Linked DNA regions of Mus musculus. The main gene of each other region encodes a partner of the protein of the gene in region 5 in a complex. Links are inferred from orthologs where the notes say so. Each region holds a gene or a part of one and is shown on either strand. Other genes may lie near its edges.

Region 1 (3,586 bases), about 120 Mb from region 5:
GGTGTGCCACCACACCCGAATTTTTATTTCATACTTTTAAAAGAATTTAATCACAACTAATAAGTTTAATTGATTTTTCTTTTTTTCCTTTTAAATTTCTGTTTCTGAAAGTCCCATAAGAGTCACATCAAAAGTTAATGTCATTTTAAAATTGCATTTAAATTCTTTAAACATCTTCCCATATAGATTCATATATATACATATGTATATATATATATATATATGTATATATACATATATATATATGAATGATTGTTTTGCCTGCATGTAAGTGCACTGTACACCTGCCTGGTGGTCTTAGAGACCAGAAGAGAGTCTAGTTTCCCTGGAACTGGGGTTATTGCTGGTTGTGAGGCATCATGTGGGTGCTAGGAGCAGACCCTGGTCCTCTCCCTGAGCAGCCAGCTCTTAAATGCTGTGCTCAGACATCTCTCCAGTCCTGCTGTTTACATTCTTATTTCAAATTAAGGAATATTTCATTGTCTCCATATGATCTAAGTCCTAATTCAGATTGTTTTAGGTTATGAGTCTGGTGCGTCTTGCAAGTTTGAGTTTTCAAATTCATTCTGTTTCTCACTTTCTTCTAACTGTTAAACAGTTTTCAGAAAAAGGTATCACTTTGTATAGTTTCCCTTTACTGACATACGCTAATTACCAGAAGATAAAAAGAATGCACACTGTATTGCCTTTTTATTGTTTCTCGTCAAGTTGATAAGAGCAATCTTGGAAAATCAAACACAGAGAGGCGTGGCCGACATGCGGTGATTGAACGGAGTTAGCTGTGTGGAGGAGTGTACCTGCCTTCAGTTCAAAAACCATGGTGTTTTACAAAGAAAATAGCTAAGTAAAGGTCGGCTTCTACCCAACCCGCATATGCTTAAAACAGGAGCCGGAAGCAGGCTGCAGCAGGATGCACAATGGGCTGCTCGCTCTGGAGACAGACAGGAGGCAAAAGTTAAGCAGAGGTCCACGGCTGGCCAGTGTTAATTTTTTCTCCCCCGCTTCTTTATATACTCTACATTCCTTGAGACCACCTGCTAAAGAATTTGTAAGTCAAACTTAAAACCGAGTAACTCTTTGGAGATCTGAACTTGGGATTGGCAAATGGGGAGCCTGAATCACTGCTATGTAAAGTCAAACTGCACTCTAGACGAATAATGAGGAATCCGCAGAGAAGGTGAGTGTGAAAGTGTCTTCCATCAGAAACAAAGGCCACTTTAAGGCACTGTTACATACTAGAAAAATGTAATTATCACATAAAAAGTTCAAGTAGTGAAACTGACGTAAAAACTGAACTACACAGCATAAAGCAAACTTTTTACTTATATTAATTTAAAAAAATACTGCAACGTCATGGGAAGAGACTCTTCCATCAACCTTCAGTGAAGCGTCTAATACTCTCATGTTTTCTATACAAATATTATACAGGTAACAGAAATATAAATAACCATTTGTAAACTGACTTCCTCCCAAAGAAGGCCCCCTTACAAGCTTTTATTCTGAGGGAAATTTGAAGGCGGTGCTTTGGAAAGCACAGGTACTTCTGGGTAAGGCTGCAGCCCCAGCTGCTTGTTATCTTTCAACTTCTGCACTACAACTTTGGCAAACTCTTCTCCTTGGATGTCAGACGTATCTAGCAGCTGTCTGACTTTTGAGGTCCTTGTAGGTTTGGTGCTAATGAGTTCATAGTCCTCCTTCATGATCAGGTCACGAGACAGAAGGGCGTCCAGCGATTGGTTAAGGCAGGCTTCAGTCATCTGGCTCACAATGGCTTCCCTCTTACTCTGGATCCACTGTTGGGCTATACCAATTGGTGGGCGCTCTGCAGCAAAGCAATGCATGAGAATTACCAAGCTGAGGATACGTAGAGGCAATGAGTGTAATTCTGTGTGAATGTGAGTAAGCAGAACTCTCATTCCCGTATGACTGCGGGTGTGAAGAGTATTATTTGAAAGTGCTTCTATTATCCAGGAACTATCAAGAGACTTGAGTTTTAGCTCCCCATTCACCTTCCAGAAAGAGTATTATATTTTTATATGCTATGTTGTAGGGCAAAATGACTTGAATTTTTGTTTAGTTTCAAATATAAAGGATACCTGCCGATGTGATAAATGAAAACAGTTTCGCCTTTACTAACACTGAAAGTAACGCTGCTTCTTCCCACTTCCTTCTAGGTCAGACATTCCTGGAATGCATTTGGTCAGCACTGAGTCTGGAAATGCTCTCCTACTTAAACAAATACTTACTGAAGTATGGAATGAACACTAAGAAAACATACTATATGGTGAATCCATGCACTGCGTACTTGTAGGGTAAACACCAACATTTGCAGTATAACTCACAGCATACACTCACCTGAACCTTTCTCAACCAAGAATGGACTTATTACAGCCAAGGAACACGAGGAGGCCCTGCGATCACAGAAGGCTGCCCCTGGTGGTACAGAAACGATACCATCCCAGCTGTGGTTTCCAGGACAGTGGTGTGCCTTCAACGAAGAGCAGTCTTGAGGTGCTCCTACAGGACAGTTCATTACAGGTAGAGTTTTCATTAGATAAAATACCAATGGGTGGGTCACACAGAAGGTAGGCTCTAACGGCTTTGGTTCTGCACTGTTATTGAACCTACTTCAGAAATCCAATTCTGAAAATACTTGAAATATTTTTTAGTGTGTGTGTGTGAAGGTCAGAGGTCAACATGTAGACGTCAGCTCTCTCTCTACCCTGTGAGTTCAGATGATCAAATTCAGGTTGCTGACATGGTGGGAAGTACTTTTACACACAGTCATCTTGCCAGCCCTGCAAATACTTTTTAGAGTAATAAACATTTATACTGAATGTTTTTTTCTTACTATCAGTGCTTGCCTGGTCTATGCTTATAAATCATAATTTCCCATCTTCTCACAGTCTCATACTTCTTCCCTGTGAATTCCCCCTTTTCCACTTTAAATATGTCTTATGTATATCTGTCAAATACATGGACTTTTAAGTGTAATAAATCTGTACTTGACATGTGTTTTCTACTTTCTCCTTTAGAAAACAATTTCAGTGCTCCAACTGTTTATCCTACTTCAAGCTTATGTAATTATCTTTCTGTCACCATTGAACACCCAGTCCCTTCAACATTCTCAGAGGCTCACTGCACATCACCTCCCCAAAGGGCACTGATGACGACTCAAAGACTCAAACAAACATAACATAAAAAAGGTGTAAATCTTAATCATCATCTGTCTTAACCCTAGCCCCACTTTAGTCCTTAGTTCTAACGGCTGTGAGTGCTCACAGCTTAACAATGTAGCACTCAGTCCTTAGTTCTAACAGCTGTGAGTGCTCACAGCTTAACAATGCAGCACTCAGTCCTTAGTTCTAACAGCTGTGAGTGCTCACAGCTTAACAATGCAGCACTCAGTCCTTAGTTCTAACAGCTGTGAGTGCTCACAGCTTAACAATGCAGCACTCAGTCCTTAGTTCTAACAGCTGTGAGTGCTCACAGCTTAACAATGTAGCACTCAGTCCTTAGTTCTAACAGCTGTGAGTGCTCACAGCTTAACAATGCAGCACTCAGTCCTTAGTTCTAACAGCTGTGA
Region 2 (3,683 bases), on a different chromosome or scaffold from region 5:
CTACATTACTTCTATCAGTAGCTATCACATAAGGAGGAAAGAGAATTCGCTCTACAGCCCTTTACCTTGCAGAAGGAGGGGGGGTTACTTCTGTGAGAATATAGAAGGTGTTGTCTATATTCCTCTGGGAAGAAAAGATGTACCTGTCATTCGATCCTTCCCACACAATGGTCACTGTGTGACCACTTCACACAGATGCATGAATGGGAAGCTAGCTCTAAAGATAGGCTGAGCCTATGTCCCTCTGACTTGACTCCTGAGCCTAATGCTTGGCCCTGTGAAGACACCGAGCAGGATCTGTCCTCCACTGTAGGACTGAGTCAGGACACCTTGGTGTTGGGAAGTCCACCTTCTGGACCCTTCTGGGTAGGAACTGAGAGTGGATCCTTGGTTCTCTCAGTGCCTCAACACCATGTACAGATCAGAGGTGATCACACATACCTACCCACCATTTGAAGGAAAATCTTACAACAGTCTCAGGGGAACTCCTACATGTGTTCCAGGAAACCTCCTCCGAGGCATAAAGTACTCTGCATATAGGCATCAGGAGTGTCACGTTTGTGACCCAAAAGAGCCAACAATCTCTTTGCAGAGCAAAAAAAAAACATTCAAGAATAGTGATTGCTTCTATTCTCTGGACAGACTTGAGAGCCCTGTGCAGGGCATTCCACACAACAACATCTCAAACAAGTGAACTGAGAAAGACCTCGAAGTTGGAATATGTCAACTTTGGCCAAGAGAGTCTAAGGTTCACAGACTCCTTTTGAAGGTCCCGTGTCCTAGACGAAGGGAATATTTCAACAAGGGGTGTAGCATTAAGTGCATGCATTGACTTTCCAGAGGAGTCCTGGATGCTCCTGGTTTCAGCCCAATGGCACACATGCTTGGGACTGGTGGCATTTGGATGCTGTGTCCTTTAAGAAATCTTGAAGACCAGTAAGTGCGCTCCTTGTGCGTGCGTAGTGTAGCCAAAGCCCATTTCCATCCAAAAGCCAGGAACTTCCAGTGTGCGAAAAAGGAGTGGGAGGATGAGTGAATGGGGTGACTTTTAGAGATGGCAGGGATGGCGATGAGAGAAATTAGAGTCCCTCAGTGACTATGGAGGCCAAGCTGCCCTCGGACTCCTGCGATTGAGAGGGCCTGCATACGAGGTGCCATATTCTCTAGCCTAAGCTGTCCCCTCCAGGGTCATCCTTTATTGAGAGCGGGGAGGAATATCTCGACTACCTAGACAAAGCATCCCCTGAGCTTGACAAGTTCCCAGCAGGCCAAGATACAGCCTCTAAAACGTTCCTGAGACCAACATGAACTTCTCCCTATGTACAGATCAAATGCATTTAGAGACACTCGTTCCTGAAATATATACCTCTCTATATATATTTAAACAAGGAATGCCCTGTCGCTTTCTTATTAGGAAAAGAAAAACCACATCACCATTCTGATACCCATTCTCATCCAAGCATTCCAAAACTGGGACTCTACTCCACGCAGGTAGAGACTTCACAGAGCTCTCCCCGTCAGAGTCATTCTTAGGAAGAGGGAAATAATAAAATAGATACTCTTGGGTCCCACCTATTTCCCTGTTTACCTTGACATCTCCAGCTGCAGGGAAAACTTCTGGAACTAGAAATGCTGAAAATTCAATAGGTCTTCCATAAGTTGACACTAGTGGCTTTACGACTACTCCTCTGTGATCTCTGCTTTCTTGTGTCAATGATGCATACCAGTTCCACAAAGTGCATGATTCTTAAAGATTTCATTTAAACTGGCAGGGTAAACCTGTAGTCTTGCCTGCCTACACCCTGAAGAGAAGTGAATGAGATTTAGACGCTATGGCCATCTGATTCATCTTGGGTTAAAAGTGCTTTGTGGGATGTGCTCAATTTGGCAAGGTTGATAAATCCAACCTTGCAGGGTTTAGCTAGTTTGGAAGCAGCCTCTAGGAGACTGCGTATGAAATTGTATGCGTGAGAAGGGAAGTGAATGCCTGATCCTTTCCACCTTGTCGCACAACACACCTGCACACAGAAGCGCACACGCTCATATTACACACGCGTACACACAGCCACCCAGTCCTTGGGGGAAGAAGAGAGGAGTTAGGTCGGAGACATCACTACGGGTAGTCAGTCAAAGACTTCAGTTGGCCATCCTCCCAGCTCTGTCTTGGTGCTCCTGTTCTCACACCTGTCCTAGGAAAGCCACCCCAGAGAGAGGAGGCAGGGTGGGGAGAAATGTAAGGCATAACTCTGGTGGGGAGAAAGGAAGGAATCCATGCTTCATGCTCAGGTGCGAGCTTCAGAGAGGATGGGCCTCTATTTTCCCTTTGGACAGCTCTGCCTGGCTGGAAAGGCCGGAAAGAAATGAAACCAGGAAAGGAGGGAAGAGAGAAAGGAATGATGATGACCGTAAGCACAAAAAAAGAGAATAATAATAAATAAGGAGGGAAAGAGGAGTTGGGACAATGAAACTTACATCTGCATGACAAATGATTCTTCCATGTACTTCCCTCCCACACTTAGATGGACTTGCGACGGAGGTGCAGCCTATGGTCCCCGCAGGTGTGCATTCCAGGAGGAATGGCGCCGAAAACGGACCGGAAGTAGGTGTTCCTCAGCACGTCTGGAGGGATCTCTTCAACCCTGCAGGAAACGGTGTGGACGGTAGCCCGGACACTCCTGATAGTGGCACCAGCAGCCACAGCAGCAGGAGCAGGCGCAGGAGCAGGAGCAGGCGCAGGAGCAGAAATAGGAGCAGTAACAACAACATTATCGACGACATCATCATCATCATCATCGTCATCATCTTTACCCCAGTTGGTACCAGGGAAGCAGAGATAGCACAGGGTTCTGCCGTATTTCCTGAGGAAGTACATGGCGTGGTGCCTCTTGCGTCTCTGAGGCGCACGGACAGACACTCTTCTTGGATTTCCAGCAAGAATCTCCGCAACTTCTCCCTCCAGTAGCTCCTCATCGGTATTCATGGTCAGGAATCGCAGGACCACAAGATTGAGGAAGGCACCGATGACGGTCAGGCCCACCAGGATATACATGAAGCTGAAGGCCACATAGAATGGCTTCCTCTGCAGCGCACCCTTGGCCTGCAGGGCCACAAAATCGCCGAACCCTATAGTAGTCAATGTTATGAAGCAGTAGTAGTAGGCATGGAAGAAGCTCCAATCTTCACACTGGGAAAAGGCAGCCGCCCCAAGGCACAGGGTGCCCATGCAGGAAAAGAAGCCGACGGTCACCATGTTCTCCATAGAAACTTCAGTGTTGCGCATGCCACAGCACTTCTTGATACGTTTCAGCAGGTAGCGCACGAAGGTGTTCATGCGCTCGCCCAGGCTCTGGAACATAACCAGCGTCAGGGGGATACCCAGCACAGCGTAGAACATACAGAAGGCCTTGCCAGCATCAGTTCCAGGTGCAGCATGTCCATATCCTATGGAAAGGAGGAGAAGAATGGGAACAATAGTTAGGAAAGGTTCTGTGGGGTTCAGATACAGAAACATCAGACATTTCGAACAGACTGGAGATTAGAGCATAAAAGATGAAAAAAATAAAAAATAAAAAGGACCATTTCAAGAGTCACATAAGTGCCGGGGCAGGAGGGATTCAGGAAAATGTCGCTATAAAGGGATTCGGTGTACAGATTAAGTACCTCTAATCTCAAAATGTAAACTC
Region 3 (3,683 bases), on a different chromosome or scaffold from region 5:
TGGGCCTTGGTACCTGAATGGAGAAGGCTTGTTACCCACCTTTTGCAGGTGTTCCCACAGGTCCAGATAAACGGTGTTCGAGTACTGGTAGGTGTGGAGATAAGACTGTGGAGATGACAGACCTTGTTAAGGGCTGGGTTATACTCAGGCCTGTGGAGGGTTCTGCTGGGAAAGCCACCATGCAGAGGGGTCGCCTGGAGCTGTACTCACTGAAAGGCCCTTCTTAAACAGGTCCTCTGTCAGGAAACTGGACAGCATCCTGATGACTGAGGCTCCCTGGGGTTGGATGAGAGGGGGCTCAGCAGGCCAAGCTGGCCACCAGGGTCAAGCATTCCCAGAGTGGCAGGCAGCTGGGATGAGGCTGCCTGAGGGATGCACTCCTTCCCACCCCAACTCCGTGACTCCCGGGGGTGAGGGGGGTGGGCAGAAGCCAGGAGGCTTCACCTTGCTGTAGGTGATGCTGTCAAACAGCTCCATGATCTGGTCTGGTGTTTTGATCTCGTCAGCAGGACTGGACAGTGGGTGGGAGGAGGCAAGGGCATCCACGGCCATCACACGGTACACATCATTCAGTACCATGAGGTCTTTCTGTGGAGTCCCCAGATGCCATCAGGAGCTCAGAAGGGGTGTGTCACAGACACTCCCGCTCTTCCACCTCGGCCCAGCTCCCAGAATGGAGACTCACCAGATTCCAGGTAGGCTCTGCATAGTCAGCACCCAGATATTCCACGTAGGAGGCAAAGCCCTCGTTCAGCCACAGATCATTCCACCAAGCCACAGTCACCAGGTTGCCAAACCACTGCAGGGGACACAGACGAGCCGTTGAGTCTCACAGGCCTTGCCATCACTAATCACATCCAACCACGCGCCGGCTGTCTGCTGGCACAGGCCAGGTGAGGACCTGACACCCCCCCCCACCCCGAGGCTTTGCTCCTTCTTGGGGCTCCCACAGCTGCCCACCTGATGGGCCAGCTCGTGAGCAATCACAGTGACCACCCGCTCCTTGTTGCTAATGGAGGAGGACTGAGAGTCAAAGACCAGGGAGCTCTCACGGTAGGTCACCAGACCCCAGTTCTCCATGGCTCCAGCGTTGAAGTCAGGCAGGGCAATCTGGTCTGTGGAAAGGATCCCGGTGTCAATGGGAGGTGTCTGAATGGGCATCCTGGCACTACCTCCATGTAGGCCCCATGGTCACTTACCAGACTTTGGTAGAGGGTAGGATGTATTATAATGTTGGGCAAAGAAATTTAGGATGGGGCCTGTAACGTTCAGTGCGTAATCACCCTGGCCCTCATCAATGGCACTGGGCCGAGCCCAGATTCCAATCTGCAGAATGAGAGGAAGGAGGTCAGGTTTAGGGTCCTCTGGGATCATGAGAAAAATGGGTAGAGTCCCAGGATACAGGGAGCTAGAGGTCCCTGATAAGTCAGGATGGAGACCAACTAGATTAAACAGAGGAAACCGAGCACGGTCACATGCCTGTAAATTCAGCATTTAAGAGGCCAAAGCAGGAGGGTCACAAGTTCAAGGCCAGCCCAGGCACCTCAGTAGACCTGGTCTCAATATTTAAAACAGAGGGGTAGATGGATGGCTCAGTGGCTGTGCGGACTAATTTTATGTCAACCTAAAAGGCTAGAGTCATCTGGGAGATGGAACCTCACTTGAGGCCATGCTTTCAGAAGATCTGGCTGGAGACAAGCCTGTAGAGTATTTTCTTAATCAGTGATATTAATGTGATGAGGGTCCAGCCCATTGTGGGTGTTGCGACCTCTGGGCTGGGTGGTCCTGAGTTCTAAAGAAAGCAGGCTGAGCAAGCCAGGAAGAGGAAGCCAGTAAGTAGCACCCCTCCATGACCTCTGTACCAGCTGCTGTCTCCAGGTTCCAGCTCTGCTTGAGTTCCAGCCTGACCTCCTTCAGAAGATGGACAGCTACATGGAAGCATAAGCCAAATAGGCCCTTTCTTCCTCTGTTTGCTTTTGGTCCCCGTGTTTCATCACAGCAATAGTAACCCTAACTACAACGGTGGTCAAGAGCTCTTCAGGAAGATCTGAGTTCAATTCCCAGCACTCACTGTTTGTAATAGGTAATAACTGTTTGTAACTTCAGTTCCAGAGGACCTGATGCCCTCTTCTGGCCTCCAAGGCATAGAAGTGGTACATGGACGTACGCATAGGCAAAGCACCCACACACAGAAAATAAATTTGTTCTTTTTTTTTTTTTTTTTTTTTTGGTTTTTCGAGACAGGGTTTCTCTGTATAGCTCTGGCTGTCCTGGAACCAGGCTGGCCTCGAACTCAGAAATCTGCCTGCCTCTGCCTCCCAAGTGCTGGAATTAAAGGCGTGCACCACCACGCCCTGCCAATAAATTTGTTCTAAATTAAAAGCAAGGCACCATTCGTGGTGGCACACAACTTTAATCTCGGCATTGAGGAACAGAGACAAGTGGGTGTCTGTGAGTTTGAGGCCAGCCTGTTCTACAGAGCAAGGTTCAGGACAGACGTTCCTCAATTTTACACCTGAGAAACTGTCTAGAAAGCAAAAGAGTTCTTGGGATCACTCATAGCTGAGATTCAACAGCCTAATAATTCAGAAGCTAGCACTGAGAAGATCTGAGAAGGTCCCTCAAGCCAGGGCCAGATCCAACTCATGACATACAGTCCCAGTTTCATACCTGGACACCATTGGCTGAGACGGAGCTTATATTTTTGAACTCGCTCACGATGTAGGCCAGCAGGTATGTGGACATCTTAGGGGTGGAGTGGAACTCAGTCATGGTGCAGGAAGGGTCTTCCGGATAGGGCTTGGACTCTGGGCATGGGATATGTAAGTGTGTGGGCTTCCTGCTCTGCCCAGTTCAGGGCAAACCCAGGACAGCCAGGCTCACCTTTGGGAAGCATATTAGACAGAGCTATGAGGTTGTTGGGGTAGATGAGTGTGATGTTGAACATGGCCTTCATGGCTGGCTCATCAAAACATGGAAAGGATTTCCGAGCATCAGCAGCCTGCATCTGCGTTGTAGCCACCACTCTGTCCAAAGCAGTGTTGTTAGAGAAGGAGTAAGGAGCATAGTTTTAGGGTACAGAAGATGGCTGCCCCAACCTGCTTACTCCCCTTCACCCAACCCCACACAGCCTCAGGATCCTGACCAACAAGCTGCCTTGGGAGACAAAAGCTTCCAGATGCCATCTAAGCCCTGGCAGGCTTCACGCCAGTGTGAGCCGAGGTGGGTCCCGGACAATTTTCTCTCTTCTGAGCCTCAGTATTCCTGTCCATCCAAGGAACCCTTTCATACCACAACCCAGTACCCCTAGGAACTGCCTCCCCCTACAGATGAGCAATGGAGCTACTGAGGTCTCCTGAAGTCTCCAACCTCTCCCTTTCCATAAGCCCCAGATGCAGCCCTGTGTCAGACCGTGCCCACGCCCTTGAACCTTACTTCTTGACGTCTCCTTCCATGTACTCGCTGCGGTAGAAGCCAGCCAGGTCATCAGCCAGTTCCCCCTGGAACTGGCTGTCCATCTCGTACTGACGGCCCTCTACCAGGGACCCCTGCAGGTGCACCACCAGGTACTCAGTACGCTCTACCAGTTCCGTTTTGTCAATGTTAGGTGCCGGAGTGCCGTCCAGGGTTCGCAACACCACCCTGTGGTTTCCTTTGAGGGTGTAGTTGAGCTTTTTGCTGTG
Region 4 (3,683 bases), on a different chromosome or scaffold from region 5:
TTCTGTATCTCTATCCCTTTCTCTCCAGGGTCTCCTGTAGCCCAGGCTAGCCTCAGAGCTCACTATTTAGTGGAGTGTGGCCTTGGCGCAGATCCATCTGCCTTTCCTTGGATTCCAGGCAGGTGACAACACACCTGTTTTGCCCTGTGTTGGGAAGTGTCCACAGGAAGATGCCCATAGGTATTAATGTAGGGAGGGCTGAAGCCAGTCTCCTCTGTGCTCTGACCCTCTTCTACCTCCTTTGCGATGCTCAAACCTCCCCTCCTTAGGTACCACTCCTCAGCTGTGCCCTCTCTTGCCCAAGGAAGCTTGGTGTCTCCTTCCTGTTCCTCCATTGGTCCTATCCCACCGGCCTGCCCCCCGCCCCTGCTGTTCATCCTAGCTGAGGCATGATGGAAGGAAGGTTGGAAGGGGTTACCTCTGGCAATGGCCATGGTGACAGGGGCAGTTGTCCTCGGCAGGAACACAGCCAGGACTTCCGTCAGGGCAGAGGCAGGGGGCTCTGTGTTCCTGACCTTGGCATTGCTGTCCAGGTTGGCACATGTTGGGGGTGCACAAGGGAACCTCACAAAGTTGACCTGTGTGGAAGGGTTTGGGGAGATGAGTCTACGAGGAAAGAAAGTCCCTTTGTGTCCTGAGGGGGTCAAAGGCCACCTCCAGGTGTGGCTTCCTCACTGTGCACAAGTCCTTTCTTCACTTTCACTCTCTCTTCCTATGTCCTTGTCTTTGTGCTGTACCTCGCTGTGCTCCGAGTGTGTGTGTGTATGATCGTGTCCTGTTTGTGTGTGTGTGTGTCTGTGTGTGTATGTGTGTGTATGAGTATGTGAGTGTTCGTGTGGTGTGTGTGCATATGATGTGTGTGTGGTATGGTGTGTGTGTACATATGATGTATGTGGTGTGTGTGAGGTGTGTATGTATGTGTGTGTGGTGTGTGAGCTGTGTATGTGTGGTATGTGAGTGTGTGTGGTATGTGTATGTGTGAAATGTGTGGTATGTGTGATGTGTATGGGTGTGTGTGCATTTGATGTGTGTGTATGAGTAGGTGTGTGGTTTGTGTGTTTGTGTGAGTATGTGTGTGTTATGTGTGGTGTGTGTATGACTGTGTGGTATGTGTGTGGTGTGAGGGTGTGTGTGTGTAGTGTGTGTGGTGTGTGTGTATGCTGACATGCATGGGCCATAGGCACACAAGTAGAGGTCAGACTTTGCAGAGTCCGTTCTTGCCATCCATGTCCCCTGGATTCTGAGTTCCGAGCGCAGGTTGTCAGTTTACGATTGCTTGCTTTTACCTGCTTGCTTATTTATTCATCCTGTCCTGGTTTTTTTCTAGTGCTGGGCACCCCAGGGACTCCTGCATATTCAGTGAGGTCTTTGCTTCCAAGCCACGCTCCTAGCTCTCCCTGGCCAGTGCACAGAAGGCCGTTCTCATTCTGTTTTAGTCATCCTGACCACCTAACACCCGCCAGGGGCCTCCTCCCCACCTGCAGTGGGCTCACACACCCTCCCAGTTCTTTCTCTTGTCTCCTGACCTGTGAAACCAGGACGGCAGAGGCAGAAGAATGCTCCGGGGAGATCAAGGCAGCTGGCTCCCACGGGGCAGGGGTCACTCAGACATTCGTCCACTTCTTTCTCACAGTGTGGCCCTTCAAAGCCTGTGGCAGAGGGGTGGGTTAGGAATCGCACAGATGGTCCCCTCCCCTAGCGACCGAGCCTCAGTTACCTGGGAGACACTCGCAGTAGAAGGCTCCAGGCTGGTCTCGGCAGCGCCCCCCATTGGCACAGGGGGTGCTGCTACACTCGTCCATGTCTTTCTCACATCGGGCGCCGGTGAATCCTGGTGGGGGAGGGGATGGGAAGGGAGGGTGCTCAAGGACGTGCAGAGAGGCACAGGGTGAACAAAGGTGGGTCTTCTGAGGAGACTCTAGGCGTTTGGGCAACACGGGAGAGAGTGGAGCTCAGACCCTGCTGGCGACTAGGCTGCTGGGCTGTGGGCAAGCTACCCAGTTTCCCTTCCAGCTCTCATTTCTTCCTGTGTAAGAAGTAGGGATGGAGCCTGGGCCGGGAGTATGGCTAAGAGGCAGAGTGATTACCCAGCATGTGTGAGACCCTGCCTCCTGTCCCCAGCATTGATACAGAAAGAATCTGTCCCTGGGCTGGAGAGATGGCTCAGCAGTTAAGGGCACTGGCTGCTCTCCTAGAGGTCCTGAGTTCAATTCCCAGCAACCACATGGTGGCTCACAGCCATCTACGATGGGATCTGGCGCCCTCTTCTGGCGCGCAGGTGTACTTGCAGATAGAGTACTCACTTTTTCATAGACAGAAGTGAGGCTGGGGTGTAAGCAAGGGAAGGCTTGGGAATGGGTGGAAGAGTTGGGGGAGCTAAAAAGGAGGAGGAGAAACACAAGCTGCTTTGGGGGCAGGGGGATGGTCTCTAGGTTCCCAGGGGACTGAGGTTGTCTTGGCCAGAATCTTCACCCACCAGGAAGGCAGAGGCACTGGAAGCCGTTGAGCAGGTCATGGCAGGCAGCTTGGTTCAGGCAGGGATTAGAGGTGCACTCATTGACCTCCACCTCACAGAGCCTCCCTTCCAAGCCTGAGGACACAGATGGGGTGAGAGATGGCCTCAGCCAGGGCCAGTGGGCTTTCTGCCTGGGGCACCTAGGCTCTGAAGCCTTGGACTTGCAGAACCCCCCATCCCCCCTGCTTGTGCTGTCTTGATGAGCACTGAGTGTGTGTGTGTGTGTGTGGGGTGGACACATCTGTCTCCCCCAGGCTTAAGGCTCCGGGAGCAGGGGACCTGCAGGGGGCTGAGAGGAAGTGCCTTTGAAGTCCTTTCTGTGTACCTAAGAGGGTGGGGCTTGCCCATGGGCTGCCCAGCCTGGAGATTCTTGAAGTACAGATGGGAAATGGACATCTGCCTGGAGGGTGATTCAGCCCTCATGTACTATCTAGGCCTCTGTACCGTGGGTGGGAGCGATGGTGGTGGAGATGGTGGTGCTGCTGGTGGTGGTGATGATGGTGGTAAGATGGTGGTGCTCCTGCTGGTGGTGATGGTAGTGATGGTGGTTGTGATGGTTGTGATGGTGGTGGTGAAAGTGGTGGTAGTTATGGAGATGGGGATGCTGTTGGTTATGGTGGTTGTGGCCATAATGGTTTTGATGGTTATAGCAGTAGTGATGGTGTGGAGGAGGAGGATTTGAAGAAAGGCATTAGGACAGAAGAGTGGCTCCCATTTTCCACCCTTAGGTTTATCTTGGTCTCCATGACCTCATGGTCAGCCTCCTCACCTCCCTGCCCCACCCCCCTTTCCTGGGGATCTGCCTCGACACCCTCGATTCATGTAACTTGTCCCTTGGATGACCGAACAATTTTCCCACGTCTCTGTGCATGTCTATGCATGGCCTGAGCCACGATGCATGGGTGATGCCTGGCATCCAGTAGGGAGTGGGGTGGGGAGGTCAGCACTGCTGAAGCCCGGGTGGAGGCTGGACTCTGCTCCTCACTGGAGGCGTGACCTTGGGTAAGTCACTCCCCCTCTTTGTGTCCAGTTTCTTAATTATGAGATGGGGATTCCTTCTCTGATAAGACGGTCATGGTGGGCATGGTGTTGGGAGCCTTCCAGCATCCCTCTGCTACTGCACCAATTCCAGGTGCACCGCCCATGTGGTATTTCAATGCTCTGCACT
Region 5 (3,703 bases):
ATACAGGACTGGGGAGCAAACTCCATACACACTAGCAGGGACTCTACCAACCAAGACACACTCCCAGCCTCTGCTTTTCCCCAGGGTGGGGGTAACATGTTTCCCTTGTGGCAAAGCCAGTCACCAACTGGCATGTCCCCTGTGTGAGTTTAAATGCTCAGACTCTAGCCGTACACTACCGTGGTCTTCCCTAACTTGATGTTTTACTGTAGTTCTGTGCCTGTGCCATGAGTTAGGCAAAGCACGCAAGATCTCAGGACAGAAATCCCATCTGCTTCCTGGGAGAACCTGTAAAATTAGCCAGGACCCTGAAGTCTCTCAAGAGCCCCTACTCCGTGGCCCAAGCACATTCCAGCCTGTTCAGGGTTCTGGCCTACAACACCTCTCCCGGAGGCAAGGCGAGTGCTCAGACACTGTGAGGAGACAGGCAAGGTTGTGCAATAGTCCTGCTTCAAGGGTTAGACTGGCTGGGTCCTAGGAAGAAACTTCTTTAGAAGGAACCACGGAGTCCCATCTAAACTTGAAGAATGTGGTGGGGCACATAAGCAGGAACACACCCTCAGTGCCCATTCTTATCATGGGCCTTGAAAATAGGGCCCAACCAATCAGGGATGGAAGATTGGGAACAAAGTGATCTCCATCTCCAAGGAGACTTCTCTCAGGGGTCAGAGGCAGAGTCTTGAAGGGACTTGAGAACCTCTGGGAGCCAAGTGAGGGATCATACTGGGCTGGAATCACACACTGCGCCATAAAACAAAATGGAATGTGCCATTCCCAGCTCCTTTCCCTCAGCCCTGTCTTCCTCCCCAGGTTGATAGCGTCCCCCCTGGGGGACCAAACTGGACTGAGCACCCAGGTGGCCTGCTTCCCAGCCTCTGACAGAGGTAATCTGAGTCAGGCAGGGGAGTGGGACAGTCAAAGAGTTAGGCCCCCACCCTCTGGGAACCCTGCCGATACATGACGACAGGCAGCTTGGAAGGGACGGGTGACCCGATGTGGAGAACCAGAGAGTAAAGTCTCAGACAAGTGTCAACAGGCCACCAACTTGAAAGGGAAAATTGTGCTGTAAGGGGGAAGGTGTCCAACAAACATATTGGGTGACTAATTACAAAGGCTGGGCTGGAGCGTCAGAGGCCGCTCGTTAAACACTTCATTAAGTGGCACCCTGAGATGCCACCTGCGCATCTGGGGTGTTCATAGGGCATCTTGAGGGAGAACAAGGACCAAGGGATGGAGCTATCTTCAGGCCGGCTCAGCTAATGGCCCCCAAAGAGAGCCAAGAGGAAGAGGGGACACGGAGGGGGAGGGGTTTAAGGGAGCTGGCAGCTTGTGACCTCAAACTGGTTTGGTTCACCCCTGAGACTTGATAGTTCTACCTCTACAGTCCTACAGAGCCAATTCGGGGGTTGGGGGTAGTTGCATCAGATCATGGATGCGCAAGTTTGGGGGAAACTGTACAGCCCTACCTATACATGAGTTCTCACCTGAACTGTCCCAGCTCCCTGGGCTCTGCCTGGGCTAAAGCAGCTCGGTGGCTGAAGCCTGGAAGATCACCCTGAAAGACAATCTGATTTGGTAATCCAAGACGCTCCTGCAATGCAGCCAGCCCTGAACTGCAGGGGGCAGTCTGGAGCCGAAAGGTGCCTTTGCAGGTGGGACCTGCGGCCAGGTTTCTCCTGCTGACTGTCCTGGTGACTCACAGCCCCCTCCCGTCCCAGCCCTTTTACCTTAAAGGTAGAGCCGGAAAGGGTGTGGCGAAGACTAGGAGGAGGCAGGGCCCAGGCCCGCTCAGACCACGCCCAACTCTTCTCAGGGCCATGCCACCCCAGCCAAAAGGCAGAGCCAGAGCAAGGGAGCCGCAGAACCCAGCGTTACTCTCGAGACAGCCAGTTCGCCCGTCTGTCTGTCCATCCTCGCAGTCATGGAGAGAGCCAGTCTGATCCAGAAGGCCAAGTTGGCTGAACAGGCCGAACGGTATGAAGACATGGCAGCTTTCATGAAGAGCGCCGTGGAAAAGGGCGAGGAGCTCTCCTGCGAGGAGCGAAACCTGCTTTCCGTAGCTTACAAGAACGTGGTGGGCGGCCAGAGAGCGGCCTGGAGGGTCCTGTCCAGCATCGAGCAGAAGAGCAACGAGGAGGGGTCAGAAGAGAAGGGCCCCGAGGTGAAAGAGTACCGGGAGAAGGTAGAGACCGAGCTCAGAGGTGTGTGCGACACCGTACTCGGCCTGCTGGACTCGCACCTCATCAAAGGGGCTGGAGATGCAGAGAGCCGCGTCTTCTACCTGAAGATGAAGGGTGACTACTACCGCTACCTAGCCGAGGTGGCCACTGGCGATGACAAGAAGCGCATCATCGATTCTGCCCGGTCAGCCTACCAGGAGGCCATGGACATCAGCAAGAAGGAGATGCCGCCTACCAACCCCATCCGCCTGGGCCTGGCCCTGAACTTTTCAGTCTTCCACTACGAGATAGCCAACAGCCCCGAGGAGGCCATCTCGCTGGCCAAGACCACCTTCGACGAGGCCATGGCCGACCTGCACACCCTCAGTGAGGACTCCTACAAGGACAGCACCCTCATCATGCAGCTCCTGAGAGACAACCTGACGCTGTGGACAGCCGACAGTGCTGGGGAAGAGGGTGGTGAGGCTCCGGAGGAGCCCCAGAGCTGAAGCAGCCGACAACCACCCCGGCTCGCCTTGCCCTCCAGTCCCCAGCCTGCAGAGAGGACTAAAACGGAGTGGGACTCTGCCCTTCCCAAACCCTGAATGTTCAGCCACACCTTGGAAGGCTCCTTTGAAGGGGGCGCAGCCAAGCTGAAGCCACCAGGGCAGGGAATCTCACTCTTCGTGTAGCTGTCTGGTGGGTGTTCCCAACCCATCCCACCCCTGCTCTCTGCACCCCCTCCCCACTTCCTCCCCCTGAGCCTCCCTCGGGCACCTGTTGCTTCTGGATCCGAATAATCCAGGAGGCTCCCCACCCTGTGGCTGAGAACTGGACTGTGGCAAGGGCTGTGTGTGTGAGAGAGAGGGAAACTCTGTGTGTGTGTGTGTGAGAGAGAGAGAGAGAGTGAATGAGAGGGAACACGTTTGCTGGGTGTGACCATGCTACCACTCAATAAAGTTGCCCTGTGACACTCGGTCTTCTTCAGTTATTGGCCATGGGTTGAGAGTAGAATTAGAAATGAGTTAAGAGAACCGGACTCTGAAACTCTGAGCTAGGTCTGTCCCTTGGGGCTGTCTGGGTGACCTGGAAGTGAGACGAGCCTTTGGGTCGGTGTCGGTGACCTGGAAATTTTGGGTAGGGTGACTTCAGGTGAGAGGCCACCAGGAAGTCCCCGCAGCGCTTCGGCTCAGGCCAGGTGAGCACAGAGGCAGGTCAGGAGAGCAGAGGAGAGTGGGGGCTGTAGGCGGGAAAGCCGCGAAGTCAGGGAAGTTTGGGCACAGTGGCCTTAAGAGACACGCTTCACAAGTGGCACTGGGGACCTCACTTTAAGAAGCGGGAAACGGTCACGTCAAGTGCTCAGATCTGAGCCGAGGGGTGCAATCTGAGGCAGGGGCATAGTGCCTCCAATAAAACAGATCAAATAAGGGAAAGCTCCCCAAGGCCCAGGGACAAAAAGAAATCGGCTGAAGAGGAGCGGGCGCGAGCTGGGTGGGAAGAGCCGCAGGGAGCTGGGCTGAGCAGCCCACGGCCTGCGCGCCCGG
Region 6 (3,683 bases), on a different chromosome or scaffold from region 5:
TCTGAGTAGAGTGTTAGAGATGGAGAGGGGCAGGGGCGTAGCTTAACGAGGGCTTGCCTAGCATGTACGAGGCCTTGAATTCAGTCCCTAGTAACCCTCAAACCAGGTGTGGTGCTGACACTTGTAACCCAGCACTGGGGAGGTGAAGACAGGAGGATCGGAAGTTGAGGGCTAGTCTCAGCTACATAGGAAGTTTGATGCTCTCCAAGGCTACATGAGATCTTGTCTCAAAAAAGACAGAGTTGTCAAGCTGAGGACCTCTGTTTAACCCACGTGATCAAAGGAGACAGTTCAGAGTGTGACAGTTCAATGTGTGACTCTCACACATTGTCTCTGACCTCTTGTTGCAACACACATGCACACATGAATGTTTTGGGGGCTTTGGGGTTTTTTGTTGTTTGTTTGTTTTGTTTTTCGAGACAGGATTTGTCTGTGCAGCCCTGGCTGTCGTAGACCTCACTTTGTATGCCAGGCTGGTCTTGAACTCAGAGATGCACCTGCCTCTGCCTCCTAAAAGGCATATACCACCACTGTTTGGCCACACACGCACATAAATGTAATAAATTAGGGTGTTTTTTTTTTCCTGTGGGGGTGGGGTGGGGGAATTGAGACTTCAACAGCCAAAAGGAATCCTGGCACTTTTGTTGTTTTTTGTTTTGTTTTTGAGACAAGGTTTCTCTGGATCCTGGTACTTTTTAAGGTCCCCTTTTGATGACTAAATCTCTGTGTGCTTACTCATCTCCAGTTGCTAGTAGGTGCTTGGCAAGTGGTGTTGAGTTAGTATTGGAGGATTGAAAGAAAAAATGATGTTCAGAATTGTTCCAGGTTGCAGTTTGGGTGCCAGGACAGACAGGGAGACACAGGGGAAAGAAGCAGTGCCCTGGTGTGAAATACTGCTTCACCTAGACGGTGTGCAGCTGAGGTGGTCAAATAATTCTGAAGCTTCAAACTAAAGGAAGAAGCCATACACTGAGCTGAGTCTGGAGCCTTCGGCCTGTGATGCTCTGCCCACAGCACTTCCCTCTCCACCTACGTGGATGCTTCTGTGAGCAGCTCAGATGGCGTGCTAGGCTCTTGTCCCCCAGAGCAGGGGTCAAGACAACCAACAAGGCTGGCTGTGTGGCCCACACCTTTAGTTACAGCACTTTGGAGGAAGGGCAGTGAATTTCAGTGAGTTTGAAGTCAGCCTGGTCTGGTGTGTGTAGTTCCAGGACAGCCAGGACTGTATATAGTGAGACAGTCTCAAAAAACCAGGGGGGAAGAGGATTCAACCAACAGACCCTTCTCTGAAGGTCACACATCCCTTCTTAACTGGTTGGGAGACTAGGTCTTAGGAAACTATGACTCCACTACCCTCCTGGAGAGCCCATAGAAGGGAGAAGTGCAGCCCGGCTAAGGAGAGTAAACCCACCATCCATATTGCTTTCCCAGATGATCGCCACCGGATTGAAGAGAAGCGCAAAAGGACCTATGAGACCTTCAAGAGTATCATGAAGAAGAGTCCTTTCAATGGTGAGATGAGGAAAGCCTGAGGGAGAGGAGTGGGCAGGCCAGCCAAGTCCTAGAGTCAGTGAGAGGACACCCGGGGTCTGAAAGCTGACTTAGCTTTTGCCCTGTAGGACCAACTGAACCCCGGCCTCCAACCCGGCGTATTGCTGTGCCTACCCGAAACTCAACTTCTGTCCCCAAGCCAGGTAAGGAAGTCCTTTTCTTTTTCTAGAATGAGGGTCTCATTTGTTCAGACTGAAGTAGTATCTTCTAGAAGGGGACCAAATTGGTCTCACCTGCAGAGTTCTGAAATCTGCTCTCCATGGGGCCTGGACTTCTCAGGGGGAGGCCGGGGTCTCTGCCAGGACCATCCAGGGCTCTTGTCACAGACTGATAAACTCAAGGCTTTGAAAGTGTGGCACAGGAACTGGCCATTTCCTAAAGTCAGTAGAAGTCAGAAGCCATGCTCCTGTCAAACCCTGAGCCCTTTATTCCCTGCTGCTCAAGAGAGTGTGGCAGGAGGGTCACAAGTTCAAGGCCATCTTGGACTACAAGGTTATTAAGTTTAAGGTCAGTTTGAAGAACCCTGTCTCAGCTTTAAAAGTAAAAGCAGGGATACGGTACAGCTCATGTAGAGCGCATGCCTAGCACCAGAGACCCTAGATTCAATATTTGGTACCAAGGGACTAAATAATCCCTGAGTTGGATACCTTGAGATACAGACATTGGAAATGTCTCTGCCCTCAGCTCTCCATTGAATTGAGAAAGAAGAAATCACCTCTAAAGTAATCAGTTGTGGGGCTAGAGAGATGGCTCGGTTAAAGGCACTGGGTTCTCTTCTCAGCAGCTGTCTCTAGCTATAGCTGCTCGCCAAGGGCGCTGCACGCATGCAGTGCACATACATAGAAGCAGGCAAAATGCTCACAAATAAAAACATTTATTTAAAAAATTAAGCTGGGCTGGGTGGTAGTGGCGCATGCCTTTAATCCTAGCACTTGGGAGGCAGAGGCAGGCGGATTTCTGAGTTCGAGGCCAGCCTGGTCTACAGAGTGAGTTCCAGGACAGCCAGGGCTACACAGAGAAACCGTGTCTTGAAAAACTGAAAAAAAAAAAATTAATAGGTTGTGGGTTCTGGTGCGTGGCTCACAAGAGTGACAGACTCCCACCACTGAGCCCGTGCTCCATGGTTCATCCTCTTCGCTGGCTTTGCAGCTGTAACATGGTGAGAGCTTTATGACCGCAGTAGCTAGGGAACACCTCACTGTGGCCCTTGGAAGTGGACCCTACAGGCCTGGTCAGATTTTGGTTCCCAGAAAGGTACTGATTCTAAGCATGGTAGAGCTGGGTCAGGTGGTGGCAGAGGGGCCGTGTATGTCTCTCACTGCCTCTGAGCCTTTGTTCTTTGTCTCTCTCTCCAGCCCCGCAGCCCTACACCTTCCCAGCATCCCTCAGCACCATCAACTTTGATGAGTTTTCCCCCATGCTGTTACCATCAGGGCAGATCTCAAACCAGGCCCTGGCCTTGGCACCGTCCTCTGCCCCAGTCCTTGCCCAGACCATGGTCCCTTCCTCAGCCATGGTACCTCTGGCTCAGCCCCCAGCTCCTGCCCCAGTTCTAACCCCGGGTCCTCCCCAGTCCCTGTCTGCACCTGTTCCAAAGAGCACCCAGGCTGGGGAAGGCACGCTGTCGGAAGCCCTGCTGCACCTGCAGTTTGATGCTGATGAAGACTTGGGGGCCTTGCTTGGCAACAGCACAGACCCAGGAGTGTTCACAGACCTGGCATCTGTGGACAACTCAGAGTTTCAGCAGCTCCTGAACCAGGGTGTGTCCATGTCTCACTCCACAGCTGAGCCCATGCTGATGGAGTACCCTGAAGCTATAACTCGCCTGGTGACAGGGTCCCAGAGGCCCCCTGACCCAGCTCCCACACCCCTGGGGACCTCGGGGCTTCCCAATGGTCTCTCAGGAGATGAAGACTTCTCCTCCATTGCGGACATGGACTTCTCTGCTCTTTTGAGTCAGATCAGCTCCTAAGGTGCTGACAGCGACCCTGCTCAGAGCACCAGGTTTCAGGGCACTGAAGCCTTCCCGAAGTGCGTACACATTCTGGGGAGTGTGCTCCAGCTGCCCCCGACTTGTTTGGGTGATCTCTCTGGGGCGGCACGTTTTACTCTTTATCTCGCTTTCGGAGGTG
Region 7 (4,383 bases), on a different chromosome or scaffold from region 5:
TAAATGAGGACCTGAAAAGTTAATAATAAACTGTTAAGATCTATTTGTATGCTGGGTTATAAGTGGGCTTTAGAAATAGAGAATGCTGGTTTTCTTCATAAGGAGCTTATAAACTATTATAAGTAGTTAGAGCATATGAATAGTCAATCTATGTAAATTTAGGGGCTGGGTTACTCTAATTAGGCAAGTGGGGTGATGAGATTTTTGACACATGGAAAAATCCACACTTGTGTTGGACCTTCTCAGTTGGTCCTAACATCTACTATCCATTTCCCCTATAAACATCCAAACCGTCCTGTTCCAGCAAATTAGCATACGGTGCTGACGTGTGGGAAGGCTGCTTCCTCTAGCTGTTCATTTAACTTCTGCTTTGTAACCTCAGGGTTAAAATCAATTCTGTGGGAGCATTAGTACTTCTGAACTTTCCAGTCTAATTTTTTTTTTAAGTATGAAGTTCCTTTCTCTCCAAAATTTACCAGCATACAAGGCACAACTTTAAAAAAAAATAAAAAAGTACCCAGAGGTGATGGCACACAACCTCTAATCTCAGCACTCAGGAGGCAGAGACAATACAGATCTCTGTGAGTTCGAAGCCAGCGTGGTCTACAGAGCAATTCCCAGAATAGCCCGAGCTGTTTGTTACACAGAGAAACCCTATCTCAAAAAACCAAAAACCAAAACAAAAGCAAAAGATAAAAAGAACTCGAGCCACGGCAGCTCTATTCACACTCCTAATCAAACGTGCACTATGGGTACCTAGTTTTTCTCTTAAGAACATACATGTAAGTATATATTTGCCATTTTTCTACAGTTCAAATGGTTCAAAATAGGCTATTGGCTCAAAACGAACCTCTGGGAAATGGGTTCTCATGAACTGAGACTGGAAAGGAAAACTGTCATTCCCAGCCTAAGTTTTAGTGGGATTCATAAGGATACGACCGTCCCTATCCTTTGGGGCCTTGGTGGCAAGTTCTTGCTTGGGAACCTCATTCTGATTCCACTTTAAGGTAAATATCTTGGGGTGCAAATACTGCATTATAGTCCCCTCAAGTGATTCCAGCCTTCCCCAGTGTTAATTTTTTTGATCAAGGAAAGTAATTCCTCCTGGCAGGCAACTAATCTGCCAGCAGTCCTGGGGTCTGCAGGCCCCCCGGGGAGCGCAGCCCAGATGGGGTGTCAGTTTTGTGTTCTTCCTCATTAACCCACCGGAGCTGTTTACGTCTGGCGTCGAAGGCCGGGCTTCTTGGGCGTCTGCTCCACAGTGCCAGCGTTCGGGGAACCGTCTGAAACATTTTCTTCTGTTCTGTTGGCCCTTTTGTTTTGCGAAGAAGAATCTAAGAGGGGGGCAAGGGGAAATTTTTAAGAGAACACACACAAACCATCTTTATTATCGACAACAATGGCTGACAGAAGTAGGCCCAAGGGATGAACAACCCACTCACTACCTCCACCCACGACCCCTGGACCCGTCATCCCCGGTAGCATCTAAGGACACAAAATAAGGTTGTTCCCACTAACACAAGGAGTATTCTACACCCCACGTCTCTTCCCCACCCCCATCCCCACCCCCACCCCCCCACCCCAGCCAAGGAGGAGGCAGTTGGTAAACATCCGAACTTTTGTCACGTATCTACAGCTGGCTAGAGGGGAGGAACTGTGATGCGTTCGGCTACGGAAGTTATCACATCTTACTATCTCCGGCTTCTGACTTCAAAATCATAAACAGGGCAAGCAGTCGGATAGGGGGTATGTCAAACCTAAGCTTCAAACAAGTTCGATTTCCCAGAGCTAAAGCAGAACACGCTGGAGAAAGCAAGTGAACAGGGTCTAGTAAAGGGGCGCTTACGGAGACAGACAGACAGACAGACATTTTAAGTTTTCCAAAGAGTCACTACCTTCTGCAGCAGGTCGCTTCCTCATCCCTGGACACTGCTCCGCTAACCCAGCCGGATTGTCTGACGAGTCAGGCATTTGGTCCACCAAATGCCGGTCCTCAGAGTTTGCCTGAGACCCAATTAAAGGCACCGCCTGGCGGCTCCCGCTGACATCCTGGCTCTCCTGCGCCAGCACCTTGCAGGCGCTCTTGGGGGGGCGCGGGGGCCTGTAGTAGAACTCGGGCAAGCTGCCCCTCTCCACCTCCTGCCACTCGTATCTGCCCTCCAGGGGCTTATGATTCTGAAAGTCGAAATTCCACTTGCGCTGACTCGCTTCTTCCATATCCCGGCAGTGCTTCTCCAAGTCCCGGGTTAGTTCTTCATGATTGACCGGGCCGAAGAGATTTCTGCAGGCGGAAGGCTTGGGGTGCTCCGCTTGTCTGGCGTCCATCCGCTCCAGGCTCGGGCTCCCGTTAGACACTCTCACGTTTGACATCTTCCTCCTCGGGCGGGTGTGGACCACCGCCTCGCCTCTCTCCGGAAAAAAAAAAATGAAATAAACAACAAAACCGAACAAAAGCGAAACGCCACGGATGGAGCGCAAAACCCTCTTCGAAGTTCTGCGACTGCACACAGACAGTCAAATGGAGCAGAGCCAGGCGAGCGACCGCCCGAGCCGCAGTAGCGCGCAGGTCTGGGGAAGAGAGGCGCAGGGACACCCCAGCCGCCGCGCAGCTCGAGGCTTCAGTGATCAAGTGTACTGGAGGGCGGGGAAGGGAGGGGAGGAGGCAGGAGGAGGTGGCAAACAGTCGGAGCGTAGGCTGGGGCGAGCCCGTGTGTCCCGCGAACGCAGCCCCTCTCCAAACCTTGCCGCCGCGCGAGTCTCGGAGCCGCGAGTGAGTCGGGACAAGGGATGAGGGGGGAAAACACCCCAAAAGCACGAGCCCCCCTCCTTTTTTAGTTGCCCAATATGGCGGTGGAAGGGAGGCTGACGAAGAAGAAGATGATTGACACTGCAAGTCTATTTAAACAGAGGAGGAGCTCCATTGGTCTCGGCGCCGGGAGCCGCTCCGCCCAGGCTGGCGAGCGCGCTCTTAAGGTGGCCCCGGGCGCGGCGCCGCCGCCTCTCCGCGCTCCCGAGCGCGCCGCCTCCCCGTAGCGCCGCCAGGACATTGGCTGGTCGCGTGACTACTCGGAGGTGTACGACTGCCAACAAACCTGCTCTGGCTGGCCCCGGAGAAATTAAAAATAAGACAAACAAACTAGCCAAACGGCCGGAGAGCTGGGGAGGGGCCAGCGCGGCGGCCAGGCAGGGACCCGGGGATCTAGGTCCCGGCGCTGCAGAGCTGCGCTGGCAGGCGCGTCACCGCTCCCGACTGCGACCTCCAGGTCTTTGCCCGCGAAACCTAGGGCCTGGACCAGTGGGCTCCTAGGTCGCTGGCGGCTTATTAGGAGCTTCGGTGGCTAGTTCAGCCCACCTGCATTCGCCGAGGTGGGAATGGAGGAGGGTATGCGAGAGATTCAGGAAACCTTGGCTCAGGGCCTGGGGCAGCCCACCCACCCCCACCCGGCAGGGTGCCTTAGCTGGGGTGCGGAATCGGCCGCTTAGCCTGACCCCAGAAGTCTCTGCTATGTAGGACAGGCCAGGAGGTGGTTTCAAAAAGAAGCCAGGACTGACCGCTCTTATCAGGGTGTTTCTGAATCCAAGCGCTTCCACCGTAGGATCTCGAGATTGAAAACCCCCAGTGCTCTCCCAAGCCTCTCTTTAGAGCCGTCCCAGACAGAAATCAGAAAAAGCCAGTTCTGATTTTCTTGGTTCCTAAGCACAGTGAAAGCCATTGCTATAGCGTGTGGGAACTCGCCTTTATACCCTTATGTTCTTTCCCGGGCGAAGCCGTTCCCTCCACCTGAGTCCAGACGCCAACTACAACAGTGCCTTCCTTCTCTTTTTTCTCCCACCAGCCTGTTGCTTCCAACCTACTCAGTACAATATTCAAATACAAGCAAATACTTTTAGAGAGCTGCAGGTTGTTAAAGGGCGAAAACACTTTCCTAAGGATCTAAGACTAGATTTGCAAGTGATTTATAATACCACCACCACGGTATTACCAACATCTAGTAATGTTGGGTGGGTTTTTTTCAGCTCCTTGGGCAACTTCACATTTCTCTATCACTGCTGAGCACAGTGACAGAAGTTAAAACAGAATAGCCAGGCCTGTCGTATCTCAGAGTTCAGTGAGATTTTAAGGGCTTTGCCCACTAGTATTCCCAAACAGTCTTGGTTTGCGCTAAACACAAAACATGTTACAGGAAATTAAATTTCTGGTTTAGTGTCCCAAAGAAGCATGGTTTTCCTATCTTCCTCTGGTGTAGGTGAGACTGAATATTGACTTGTTTTCTTAGCCACATCTTTGCCAGGATGTGTGTGTGTGTGTGTGTGTGTGTGTGTGCGCGCGCGCGCGCGCACGTGCACGTGTGTGTGTGTGTGTGTGTGTGTGTGTGTGTGTGT

What was found.
Region 1: the proteins of Sfn (region 5) and Ripk2 are in contact, whole or in part, in a crystal structure (PDB 7OBS), measured with the Homo sapiens proteins. The link is inferred for Mus musculus from reciprocal best matches to the Homo sapiens genes SFN and RIPK2. Residues at the interface, in NP_006133.1 of Homo sapiens: Lys49, Arg56, Arg60, Lys122, Asp126, Arg129, Tyr130, Pro167, Gly171, Leu174, Asn175, Val178, Tyr181, Glu182, Ile219, Leu222, Asp225, Asn226, Leu229, Trp230; in NP_003812.1 of Homo sapiens: Leu535, Gln536, Asn537, Lys538, Ser539, Met540.
Region 2: the proteins of Sfn (region 5) and Kcnk9 are in contact, whole or in part, in a crystal structure (PDB 3P1P), measured with the Homo sapiens proteins. The link is inferred for Mus musculus from reciprocal best matches to the Homo sapiens genes SFN and KCNK9. Residues at the interface, in NP_006133.1 of Homo sapiens: Lys49, Arg56, Arg60, Lys122, Asp126, Arg129, Tyr130, Glu133, Gly171, Leu174, Asn175, Val178, Glu182, Leu222, Asp225, Asn226, Leu229, Trp230; in NP_001269463.1 of Homo sapiens: Lys369, Arg370, Arg371, Lys372, Ser373, Val374.
Region 3: the proteins of Sfn (region 5) and Anpep are in contact, whole or in part, in a crystal structure (PDB 7AEW), measured with the Homo sapiens proteins. The link is inferred for Mus musculus from reciprocal best matches to the Homo sapiens genes SFN and ANPEP. Residues at the interface, in NP_006133.1 of Homo sapiens: Asn42, Ser45, Val46, Lys49, Arg56, Lys122, Arg129, Tyr130, Gly171, Leu174, Asn175, Val178, Glu182, Leu222, Asn226, Leu229, Trp230; in NP_001141.2 of Homo sapiens: Ala60, Ser61, Ala62, Thr63, Thr64, Leu65, Asp66.
Region 4: the proteins of Sfn (region 5) and Notch4 are in contact, whole or in part, in a crystal structure (PDB 7OR3), measured with the Homo sapiens proteins. The link is inferred for Mus musculus from reciprocal best matches to the Homo sapiens genes SFN and NOTCH4. Residues at the interface, in NP_006133.1 of Homo sapiens: Lys49, Arg56, Arg60, Lys122, Arg129, Tyr130, Glu133, Gly171, Leu174, Asn175, Val178, Glu182, Leu218, Gln221, Leu222, Asp225, Asn226, Leu229, Trp230; in NP_004548.3 of Homo sapiens: Arg1914, Arg1915, Phe1916, Ser1917, Ala1918, Gly1919, Arg1921.
Region 6: the proteins of Sfn (region 5) and Rela are in contact, whole or in part, in a crystal structure (PDB 7O6I), measured with the Homo sapiens proteins. The link is inferred for Mus musculus from reciprocal best matches to the Homo sapiens genes SFN and RELA. Residues at the interface, in NP_006133.1 of Homo sapiens: Glu14, Tyr19, Leu43, Ser45, Val46, Lys49, Asn50, Gly53, Gly54, Arg56, Lys122, Arg129, Tyr130, Gly171, Leu174, Asn175, Val178, Glu182, Ile219, Leu222, Asn226, Leu229, Trp230; in NP_068810.3 of Homo sapiens: Ala43, Gly44, Ser45, Ile46, Pro47, Gly48, Arg50, Ser51.
Region 7: the proteins of Sfn (region 5) and Cdkn1b are in contact, whole or in part, in a crystal structure (PDB 7ORG), measured with the Homo sapiens proteins. The link is inferred for Mus musculus from reciprocal best matches to the Homo sapiens genes SFN and CDKN1B. Residues at the interface, in NP_006133.1 of Homo sapiens: Lys49, Arg56, Arg60, Arg129, Tyr130, Glu133, Leu174, Asn175, Val178, Glu182, Leu222, Asp225, Asn226, Leu229, Trp230; in NP_004055.1 of Homo sapiens: Arg194, Arg195, Arg196, Gln197, Thr198.

What each region holds. Positions count from the first base shown.
Region 1 is NC_000070.6:16,122,070-16,125,655, forward strand, and holds the end of Ripk2 (receptor-interacting serine/threonine-protein kinase 2), read right to left. Parts: intron 2,518-3,586; coding exon 2,356-2,517; intron 1,823-2,355; coding exon 1,485-1,822; 3' UTR 672-1,484; downstream 1-671.
Region 2 is NC_000081.6:72,509,604-72,513,286, forward strand, and holds part of Kcnk9 (potassium channel subfamily K member 9), read right to left. Parts: intron 3,442-3,683; coding exon 2,516-3,441; 3' UTR 1-2,515. UniProt on the Homo sapiens protein: K(+) channel that conducts voltage-dependent outward rectifying currents upon membrane depolarization. Voltage sensing is coupled to K(+) electrochemical gradient in an 'ion flux gating' mode where outward but not inward ion flow opens the gate.
Region 3 is NC_000073.6:79,838,203-79,841,885, forward strand, and holds part of Anpep (aminopeptidase N), read right to left. Parts: coding exon 3,436-3,683; intron 3,027-3,435; coding exon 2,884-3,026; intron 2,808-2,883; coding exon 2,671-2,807; intron 1,327-2,670; coding exon 1,200-1,326; intron 1,116-1,199; coding exon 961-1,115; intron 800-960; coding exon 686-799; intron 589-685; coding exon 445-588; intron 277-444; coding exon 211-276; intron 106-210; coding exon 40-105; intron 1-39. UniProt on the Homo sapiens protein: Broad specificity aminopeptidase which plays a role in the final digestion of peptides generated from hydrolysis of proteins by gastric and pancreatic proteases.
Region 4 is NC_000083.6:34,570,644-34,574,326, reverse strand, and holds part of Notch4 (neurogenic locus notch homolog protein 4 precursor), read right to left. Parts: intron 2,591-3,683; coding exon 2,477-2,590; intron 1,832-2,476; coding exon 1,718-1,831; intron 1,650-1,717; coding exon 1,527-1,649; intron 579-1,526; coding exon 419-578; intron 1-418. UniProt on the Homo sapiens protein: Functions as a receptor for membrane-bound ligands Jagged1, Jagged2 and Delta1 to regulate cell-fate determination.
Region 5 is NC_000070.6:133,599,988-133,603,690, reverse strand, and holds Sfn (14-3-3 protein sigma), read left to right. Parts: upstream 1-1,522; 5' UTR 1,523-1,921; coding exon 1,922-2,668; 3' UTR 2,669-3,135; downstream 3,136-3,703. UniProt on the Homo sapiens protein: Adapter protein implicated in the regulation of a large spectrum of both general and specialized signaling pathways. Binds to a large number of partners, usually by recognition of a phosphoserine or phosphothreonine motif.
Region 6 is NC_000085.6:5,643,894-5,647,576, forward strand, and holds part of Rela (transcription factor p65), read left to right. Parts: intron 1-1,431; coding exon 1,432-1,512; intron 1,513-1,619; coding exon 1,620-1,694; intron 1,695-2,906; coding exon 2,907-3,523; 3' UTR 3,524-3,683. UniProt on the Homo sapiens protein: NF-kappa-B is a pleiotropic transcription factor present in almost all cell types and is the endpoint of a series of signal transduction events that are initiated by a vast array of stimuli related to many biological processes such as inflammation, immunity, differentiation, cell growth, tumorigenesis and apoptosis.
Region 7 is NC_000072.6:134,918,907-134,923,289, reverse strand, and holds the start of Cdkn1b (cyclin-dependent kinase inhibitor 1B), read right to left. Parts: upstream 2,890-4,383; 5' UTR 2,371-2,889; coding exon 1,896-2,370; intron 1,335-1,895; coding exon 1,216-1,334; 3' UTR 1,207-1,215; intron 1-1,206. UniProt on the Homo sapiens protein: Important regulator of cell cycle progression. Inhibits the kinase activity of CDK2 bound to cyclin A, but has little inhibitory activity on CDK2 bound to SPDYA. Involved in G1 arrest. Potent inhibitor of cyclin E- and cyclin A-CDK2 complexes.